Linked DNA regions of Daphnia pulex. Each later gene encodes a partner of the first gene's protein in a complex. Links are inferred from orthologs where the notes say so. Each region holds a gene or a part of one and is shown on either strand. Other genes may lie near its edges. The genes, in order: AP-2 complex subunit mu and P2X purinoceptor 4-like.

The links.
Region 2: the proteins of AP-2 complex subunit mu (region 1) and P2X purinoceptor 4-like are in contact, whole or in part, in a crystal structure (PDB 2BP5), measured with the Rattus norvegicus proteins. The link is inferred for Daphnia pulex from reciprocal best matches to the Homo sapiens genes AP2M1 and P2RX4. Residues at the interface, in NP_446289.1 of Rattus norvegicus: Phe174, Leu175, Asp176, Lys203, Asn217, Leu316, Ala317, Gln318, Lys319, Glu391, Val392, Pro393, Lys400, Val401, Arg402, Tyr403, Leu404, Ile419, Lys420, Trp421, Val422, Arg423, Tyr424, Ile425; in NP_113782.2 of Rattus norvegicus: Val375, Glu376, Asp377, Tyr378, Glu379, Gln380, Gly381, Leu382, Ser383, Gly384.

The regions. Positions count from the first base shown.
Region 1 is NC_060028.1:9,468,507-9,472,999, forward strand, and holds the start of AP-2 complex subunit mu, read right to left. Parts: upstream 2,885-4,493; 5' UTR 2,726-2,884; intron 2,362-2,725; 5' UTR 2,335-2,361; coding exon 2,158-2,334; intron 2,088-2,157; coding exon 1,925-2,087; intron 1,855-1,924; coding exon 1,739-1,854; intron 1,667-1,738; coding exon 1,299-1,666; intron 1,234-1,298; coding exon 1,000-1,233; intron 926-999; coding exon 814-925; intron 752-813; coding exon 617-751; 3' UTR 1-616. Other genes in the region: polyhomeotic-proximal chromatin protein-like, read right to left, coding at 3,421-3,654, 3,715-4,129, 4,198-4,414.
Region 2 is NC_060017.1:6,889,137-6,893,658, forward strand, and holds P2X purinoceptor 4-like, read left to right. Parts: upstream 1-1,441; 5' UTR 1,442-1,464; intron 1,465-1,833; 5' UTR 1,834-1,834; coding exon 1,835-1,965; intron 1,966-2,035; coding exon 2,036-2,267; intron 2,268-2,328; coding exon 2,329-2,504; intron 2,505-2,574; coding exon 2,575-2,650; intron 2,651-2,719; coding exon 2,720-3,015; intron 3,016-3,140; coding exon 3,141-3,288; intron 3,289-3,348; coding exon 3,349-3,447; intron 3,448-3,530; coding exon 3,531-3,581; 3' UTR 3,582-3,753; downstream 3,754-4,522. Other genes in the region: uncharacterized protein LOC124196542, read right to left, coding at 4,050-4,522. UniProt on the Homo sapiens protein: ATP-gated nonselective transmembrane cation channel permeable to potassium, sodium and calcium. CTP, but not GTP or UTP, functions as a weak affinity agonist for P2RX4.

The DNA.
Region 1 (4,493 bases):
ACTCATCCCTAATGTAATGTGCACAGACACAAAAAAAAACTGGGTAAATCAAAACATGTAACATATAAATCACGCGCACAAACAGAGAGAGAAAAAGAGAGAGAGAGAACGCGAACTGCTAATCCAAGCAGTAACAACGCAATCCAGTCAAGACGACTATTCTGTGGATATTTTTTTTCTTTTTTTGGGGGTAGGGGGAGAAGGGGGTTAATTTCGCTCTCTGCGCACTAACAATGATATAGATGGGAAGGAAAAATAATTCCGACGACGTACTCAACACTCAACACGGATGAAAAAAAATAAAAGGAAGAGAAAAGAAGTAGATGAGAGAAGTACAAGCTTTTGAATATTAAACTAAACAGAATTTTGATCCTGGATGAAAGAAACTTAACAGACAGAGCTACTTTTCCCATTAGCAGGATTCATCCACTCTCTCGCACCGCTCAGCAGATGCAACAACGACATCGACCTAAGTATAAGACAGACTAACAAAGATCTTTCTTCTTTTTTTTTCTTCTTTCGGACGAGTAGTAAGTGATGGGTTAATCATGAAGAGGAGAAATAGAATTGGAGACGAGTTTCTTCATCTTCCAACGAAAATGAATCGTCCGTTTCTTCAGCAACGCGTTTCGTAGAGGCCGCTGCGTCCGATGTAGCGAACCCATTTGATGACGTCGTGATCAGAATAGTTCAACTTGGGTTCAAAGACTTTCAAATATCGAACTTTAAAGCCCGATGGTGCAAACGGAACCTATGATAGAAATCCAAATTAGAGCAATCGATATGCACGACACACATCATCCTCGAAAATACCTCAAAGTTCATGGAAATGGGGGGTCGAGTCCACTTCTTTTTCGTGTCCGTTTGCAAAAGCTCAATTTCAGCTGAAAGTTGTGATTCCTTCATACCTCCCATCCGTTTGATCCTGTCAACATCAACACCACACAAGTTTAACAACACAGCTCTAATGTTTGATCTAAAGAAAAGTTTGCAACTGACTTCCAAACGATGGCGTTCTCAGAAGCTTTGTACTTGGCTTTGCCTTTCATGCACAAAAGTTGAACGCCCGATGTATTGAGAGGCGTTGGAATGCGTATCTCGATTTTCTGTGCCAGGAGCGAAGGTTTGAAGTTAGACTTGACAACCACTTTGACTTCCATCTTTGTCCGGCCCACTTCGCGCACCAACGGTATAACTCGGAAAGGTAACGAAATGTCCTTGGTCGTTCGGTACCTGCAATCGAAAATAACACTTGTTAGCATAAATTCAATGTATATACCAAAGGAGAACAGACTAACCTCATGAGTTCAAACTCTCCGTCAGGGGGAATAAAGCTAATCGAATGCTCCGTTTCGAATTTAGACAACTTGACACACTGGTGAAATTGACAGTCGTCAATCACAATAGCTGTCTTGCCAGTGCGAGCAGCGGATTCATCCGCAGTAGGTTTACCCTTAGCCTCCATGATAATCTTATCGTTGATTCCAAACTTGCATTCGGGCATGCCTGACAAGTAGGATTTCATCACTACTTTGCCAGCCACGTGAGCTGAAAGTACTTGACCCTGCGGCGACATTAGAAGGTTGACGTATTCCAATACGTCAAGGAAGAGTTCGTTTCGCCGGTACTTGATGCCTTCGCGTCGCCAGCCGATTTGGCCTGTCACCTGGAAATCATAACCACATGATTATATTTTAAAAACAATCATTGAGCATTAATTGTTTGAGCGAATCTATACCTGAGAGGTAATCTGGGCCTGCTCTTCTTTGGTTTGCGTGCGAATACCTTGCTGAGTAATAAACGTCTTCAACACTCCCGTGTCGGTATTTTGGGGATAGCCAAAATCAAGAATCTCTGATAGAATGAATAAATTGGATAAGGAACAACACACAAACAAATAAATTGTGTTTGCTTCCCAACATACCATCCAAAAGTTCGTAAATGAGGACAAAATTGTTCTTGATGTTTTCCTCTGATACCTTACCAAAGTATGACTGCATGCAGTCAGTGACCTTCAAGAGAAACTCGAAAACCATAGAGGCATTGACATTTTGTTTGGTGACAGCTGCCACCCAAATATTAGCACGCTAAAAAAAGGTAAAGGATTATTGATCCTGAGAACATTAAAACATTTCAAAATGGCAAATCAGAAAATACCTTAACATGGAAGAAGGAGGTTCTGGCAATGTTTGTAACAGGTGATCTGACTTGCTGCCTAGCATGGATGACATTTACTCGGAAAGCATCAACTGCATTTCTGCCAATGTCATCACGGTACACACGTGATATTAGGACCTCTCCTTTGTGATTGTAGATGAAAAGGCCTCCAATCATCTTGACTCTTGAAGCTTTGTGATAAACCTATGAATGAAGAAAATAACACTTTTTTTTCAAACGTGCAGAATGACATTTAGCATGTATACAAGTCCATAAGAACTCTTTGGTAGATGGTTTGCTCTGTGAACTAGAGTATGCAAATGAAGCTATGCAACTTTTTGTTGAAATGTTGAATTATCTTTTTGCCATGCATGCACGAGTTCTTTTGATTGCCTTCACAGGATATCCCGTCTCAATACCGGTAGACTAGCTGATATATCGAGCAACGCCTACCAATAAACTTTCGCATTACCCAACACACAACCACCGTTCCTGAAGATCACGGTCTTGTGTCGCTTTAAACATCATAATTCAAAACCACACCAACGAAAAAAACATAACCTCTTACCTCAAAGTAACTGTTACCAGCCCAATTTCTCCCACTGTGGATAAGTATTCAATTTGGTTTGATAGCAGACTTGTACTGTCAGAGTGAAATGACAGTAACACAGTGCTAACAAGAAAGAAAGTCAATCCATATCACAGGCCAAACAGCTGAAGTCCGTAAAGCGCTCGGAGCGCCACATTTGAAATACTCGGGTGGAAGTAGAACTTTCAAGGTTAAAATCATTTTCAAGAATTCGACTGATTCAAGCATTTTTTAAAAATATACCATTAAAAATAATACGAAATACGTTTGATTCAATGGATTTTTATGTATATTTAAATTATTATTACAATGTCAATTTATTACACTGAAAACGAAAATTCTTCGTTCCGAAAATGTTATATGCGGTTATATGGCATTTTTGTCCTAAATGCCTTTTGTTACACCGAGCATTACATTTTGTATGAATGATCTATATATATATATTTGTTCACTGACGATCTATGTGTCATACGAAATGAGAATTACTGTAATGAAGGTGAATAACCAAAGCAAAATACGTAGAGAGAAATGACGAAGAAACATATCGTGAACCATAAACAAACTATAGACAGAAAAGTACAATGAGTCAAATTACAGTTGAATGAGGCAAACATAACACGTATCGATTTCTGGTGGAGAACAACACAAAAATGGGGGATTGAACTTTTCCCACATTAATTTCCGTTTTGTGGATTGCTATTACCGCCCTCAGAGGAGGATGCACCACGCATAGCATCAATCTTGGCGCAAATCTTCAATGCCGGCCCAAGTTTCATCGACATGGCAGACATCAAATGATCGGCTTTCAATAACATGAGCGCTTGGCCATCAATTTCCTGCAATGCGAAATCTTCGGCATAATCTGCACATCCAGTTAAACTTCGCACGAAATCCGCGACCTCGGTAACCTGAATGAATAGAAGTCTTAATTATCAGTGCAATCTAAGTCGTAACAATAAATAACTTACACTCCACTTGGCTGGATTAGTTTTCGGCTCAGGTTTGAGCTGGTGAGTTGGTGTTTGAGATAGTGAGGCTGTGGGAGAACGCAATTGCTGAGCAGCCAGAGCACACAACTCTGCATCCAAGCTGATATCTTCTTTATCTCCAGAGGGAGCAAAGCTCGTTGGAGGAGTTGGGCCCTGAGGAATTGTCACGGCCGTTGGAGAAGCCAATTTGTTGTTGGCTTCGGCTGTTGTTGAAGCAGCAGCGGGTGAGTGAGTGGTTGACGTCGCAGTGGTCAGTAGCCCACCACCACCGCCAACGGCTGCTTTTACTCCCTGACCGTTGACACAAGTCGTTGTCGAGACAGTTTCCTGCTGCTGCTGCTGCTGTTGATTCGGCTGAACGGGTCCAACTGCTGGCGAAGCATTTATGTTAGACCTATTTCAAAAGTAAACAAACACGGTTAAAATTAAAAGAGTCAAAAGATAAATGGGTTAATGACATACTTTTTCGAGCAGGCTGTGGAACAAAAGCGTTTTGAACGACGAAATTTGGAAATGAAATCCATTTTTCCACATCCCTCGCATGTGGCCATGGTAGCTCCTTTAGGCGTCGACATCTGCTGAAGATCGTTAGTTGTTGTGGTGGTAGGCGGCGCAGGCGGGGGTGCCAGAGGTGGAGATTGATGGGTCACTGTAGGTTGTTCCATATGTAATTTTTTCTCTGTTTAAGGGAGGGGGGAATTTGGGTCATGAGTAAACCAAACTTTGGCAAAACTAAATACATGCAATCAAACAAAACA
Region 2 (4,522 bases), on another chromosome or scaffold:
CTTTTCAATGCGATCGAATATGTAATCCATGTTTCTTGGCCAGCACGTCTTGTACACATTGGTCACCAAATCATCGTGCATTTTACTCAGTTCCGTTTCCCAGAAAATGGGAACGAGGTGATTGGCGGATGGCGGCTCATCTGGATAAAGCTGACCCACCAAGTTGTTTGACATTGCGCACCTAATGTACTCATAGCGGTCGTTGCAGAATGAACAGATTGTCGTGTGCAATGGCCTGCCATTGAGTGAACTTCCGCATCGATGGAAATGCCCTAACATGGCAAATTGCTCGACCGTCTTGTACAGCAAAGTTGTGACGACTTCCAGTCGGTTGGGTGAATGCGGCGGATAAAGATTGATCAAGTCGACCACTCTTTGATTTTCGTAAAAGGCGCTTCGGAAGGCTTGGATAGACGGTTCAGTTGTTGTGGTCATTGGACATTCCGGCGGCGCACATCCACCGTTTGGACAATTGGTTGCAGTGGAATCCCAGCAATCGGTTCTAGACGGCCAGACTTGAGGTGTGCACGGTGGCTTTGACTGAGGGATGCAAGCGTCTGGATCTTTGATGCAGTCAAACGGACAGATGTTGTCGACGGGGCAAATGCCGGTTATTACAGCGACGTTGATTGCACTATTACTTGGAGTAAATCCTTCGATTGCAATTTTTTCATTTCCGTACGCAGAGTAGACCATGACTCCAGTGATCATCATCAAACCGGCATAAACAATTAAAATTAGAGTTAGAACCACTACGCCAGGTACTGGGTCCTGGGTTCTGTTACCGGAGGTCGAAGGCTGAGTCTCATCGTCTGTATCGTTTTCATCTTCGTTTTCGTCAAAATCTTGAGTAGTATTGGCTTCTTCGACATTTTCAGCAGTTCTCAATCGATTCATAGTTTCGTAAAAAATAGATGGACGAATCAATTTAAAATCATGAAAAATTTAAAGTTACAACTGTAACGGAACAGTTATATAAGCTCAGGTCGCAGAATTAGTGATTGCAAGTACTTTTTGCGACAGTTTTTCGGATAATGCAACTTTTATCATTGCTTTAACTGTTTAATTTATTCAAAATCGTAATTGTGTTCTTTTAACACATATATTTCATCATAGAAAAACACTATAAGTATTTTATAGAATTTTGTACAAAGTATTTTTATCATTACATCAGATAAAGACCACTGTGGTTACATCCTGGTGTTTCCCGGGAGGCCGGGTTATTGAATTCGTTTCAGGTACCGAATCGTCCGCGAGCCAGTACTAAATGTACCATCATGTAATGTGTAATAATTTTTTTTTTTTATTCTTTCTACAAAATAATAAATCCTAAATGTTTGAGAACATTTGATGTTTTTGCTAAAAAACCTAATGGAAAACCTGTATCCCATTGAAGTAAAACTTGGCAACAGCGTTAGTATAATCCAATTTTAAATACAGACGAAATTCAGTCAGTGTCAGACTGTGAGTGTCATCTCACTCAGTTTATTCAAAATTTGATATCTATTGGCAGATTATATTTTGCAACTGAAAATTGTACAAATTATAGATTAGATAGTTCATTTCCGTGTTCGCCAAGCACATCTTCATGTTTTTACATTCACATTTGACTAAAGTTCAGTTCTTGCTTCTTACTTTTGACATGAGTTGACATTTCCATTAAATCTCACAGTAGTAAAACGTGCCATTATTGGTATACAGAGTTTCTAGCCGAAATTCATGCCTTTTTAATACATAAGATTGTAAATTCCAAAGTTGCAACAGTTTCAATGACCTGCATTCAAAGTTTGATTTATATCCCACTCGATCAGTAAACATTTGTAATTTTTGCAGAATGGGCTGTTTCAAACCATTTTCTAATTTTCTATTTTGGTATGAAACACCAAAAGTAGTACATATTCGAAGTAAAAAGGTTGGAATACTGGGAAGATTTCTGCAGCTGTGTGTCCTTTCATACATTGTCGGGTAAAGCTTACTTTTGTAAAAATTCTAATTCCAGCAATCCATTAAAATTGTACTATTTTCCCCATTACAGATATGTTATGGTTTACAATAAAGGTTACCAAGAGTTTGCTAATGTTGAAAGTGCAGTTGTAACGAAAGTAAAAGGTGTTGCATTCACGAATACCAACAAAAACATTCCTGACATCTACAGAAGAATTTGGGATACTTCTGACTTGATTATACCTCCATCCGAAAATGACGCATTTTTCATCACAACGAATATTATCATTACACCAAATCAAACTAGGGGAGCCTGCAGTGAGGTGCTCAATGCTTTATCTTAAACTTGTGTATATTTTATTTAAAAAAATTGTGTATTTACAGGACCCAGATGTGTATGGAGCATTATGCGATTCACCACAGAATTGCATAAGGGGGCAATCTTTGCCGATCGGAAATGGAGCCATGACTGGGCGTTGCATTCCAAGTGATGCTAACTCAAGTGTTAACGTCTGTGAAATATTTGCCTGGTGTCCTATTGAACAAGATATTTTTCCTTTGTATGCAAACATTCAAATGTTTGTGAATCAGTTTATATGTTTGATTTTTAATTTTATTCATTCCTTACAGGGGAACAGATCGTCCATTGCTTGAAGAAACTGCCGATTTTACAGTTTTGATTAAAAACTTCATCGAATTTCCAACGGTATGTTATATTTGTTGCATACGTACGTCTTTTGTTTATTCTGACAATTACAATTATTTTTACAACAAGTTTGGGAAAACATTTCGTCGACGAAACATCATGGAAGATGCTAACAAAACCTATCTCCAGTCTTGTCATTATAATCAAGAAAGAGATCCCTTCTGCCCTGTGTTCCGAATAGAAGATATAGTCTCGTTTGCGGGAGAAAATTTTACACAACTAGCAATCCGCGGGGGAGTTATCGTCATCTCCATCGACTGGAATTGCAATCTTGATTTAGATTTTCTTGAATTTTGCAAACCTATTTACAGTTTCAGAAGAGCTGATGATCCAAATACCAACATCGCTCCTGGCTGGAATTTTAGGTAAGATATGTGAAACAATTTTTAATAATTTCAGAATATTCGAGATACCAACAACAGCAAAACGAAGTTTACTCTCTTTTGTGTTCATATTTAAACTGACAACCTTTTTCTTTATTTAAAATAAGACACGCCAATTATCACGAAGAGAACCGGCGAACGCTAGTCAAATCTTACGGTATTCGCTTCGTTATTGAGGTCCGAGGTCAGGGTAGGAAATTTAACATTCTTCCAACTATGTTGAATATTGGATCTGGACTAGCCCTTCTTGGAGTGGTAACAATTTTTTAATTTTTAAATGTAAAGTGGCTTTATAACACAGCATTATTCATACAGACAACTGTGGTTTGCGACTTCATCATTTTATATTTTACCAAAAAGCGCATGTTTTACAAAGGAGTAAAATACTTGCTGGTTGACGGCGAAGATCCAGAGGTAAATAAAAAGCTCTGTTTTTTTGTTTTCTAAATTTAACAAATCTGATTTTCTTCTTGACTTCTTCGCTTTACTTAACTTAGAGAGCACCACTTCAAACGGAAGCGGGAATGACAACTTATGGGAGCAATTGAAATAATATGCCTTACCTATTTTACATTCCGAATAATTTTCACATACTTTAAACAGAAGTTACTATTCTTTTAAGGGATCTAGTCAGAAATTCATGTTATTTTTAGCTGAATTCTAATATGAACCATATTTTTAAAACATACACAGGATACTAATATAATCTTTTAAACTAAATTGTTTCATAATCCTAACATGTTTTCCTGCAGTGCGAAGTTTGACTTTTCCTGAACTGGGTCTTAGTTCCGTGTGTTGTATTGTATATTTAATACTGGAAGATTGACGGATTGAGCTGCTTACCTTCACTTAAAGAACTTGATTTCCAAATTTATTAGACAAAATAACTGAAACAATTTTCATTCGTCATACATTAAACAAAAGAAAAATTTAATTGTTTACTAATGTAATCCAGATGTTCGTTTGGAATTTCTTCTGTTAATAGTAAGTTGATGAAGGCTCAAGACTCGCTTGTTTCAACGGCGACCGCCGGTTATATCCTTTCCAAGACAGATGTTAAGGAAGAAATTAACCAAGGCACGTCTAGGAATGTAACCGCACATATAGGGCGATGGAGACGGAATTGCAGAAGCCCAACTTCCACCAGAACCAGGTGCTTCTTTCAACATGCAGGTCCCACCTTTTAGGCCGGCGATGTGCGTAAAGTGGCTGCATTTCCTGTCGACGGCACAGCGAGATGAGCAATCAAATACTGTTTCTATACAAGTCAAAGTATAGAGTTCGTGGTCGCAGAAATCGCAATTGGTGCCGTATGTAACAGATGGAAGATTTGGGAATTTATTCGTTTTCGGCATATGAGGAGGGCACTGGTGATCGCAGTTGTGACACGATGAAGGTGGATGTATTGTTGGAGGCCTACAAGTAGGAGGACATCCGGTTGTACATGTGGAACATCTTGGATCCACTGCAATTGTTTCATCAGTTAAGA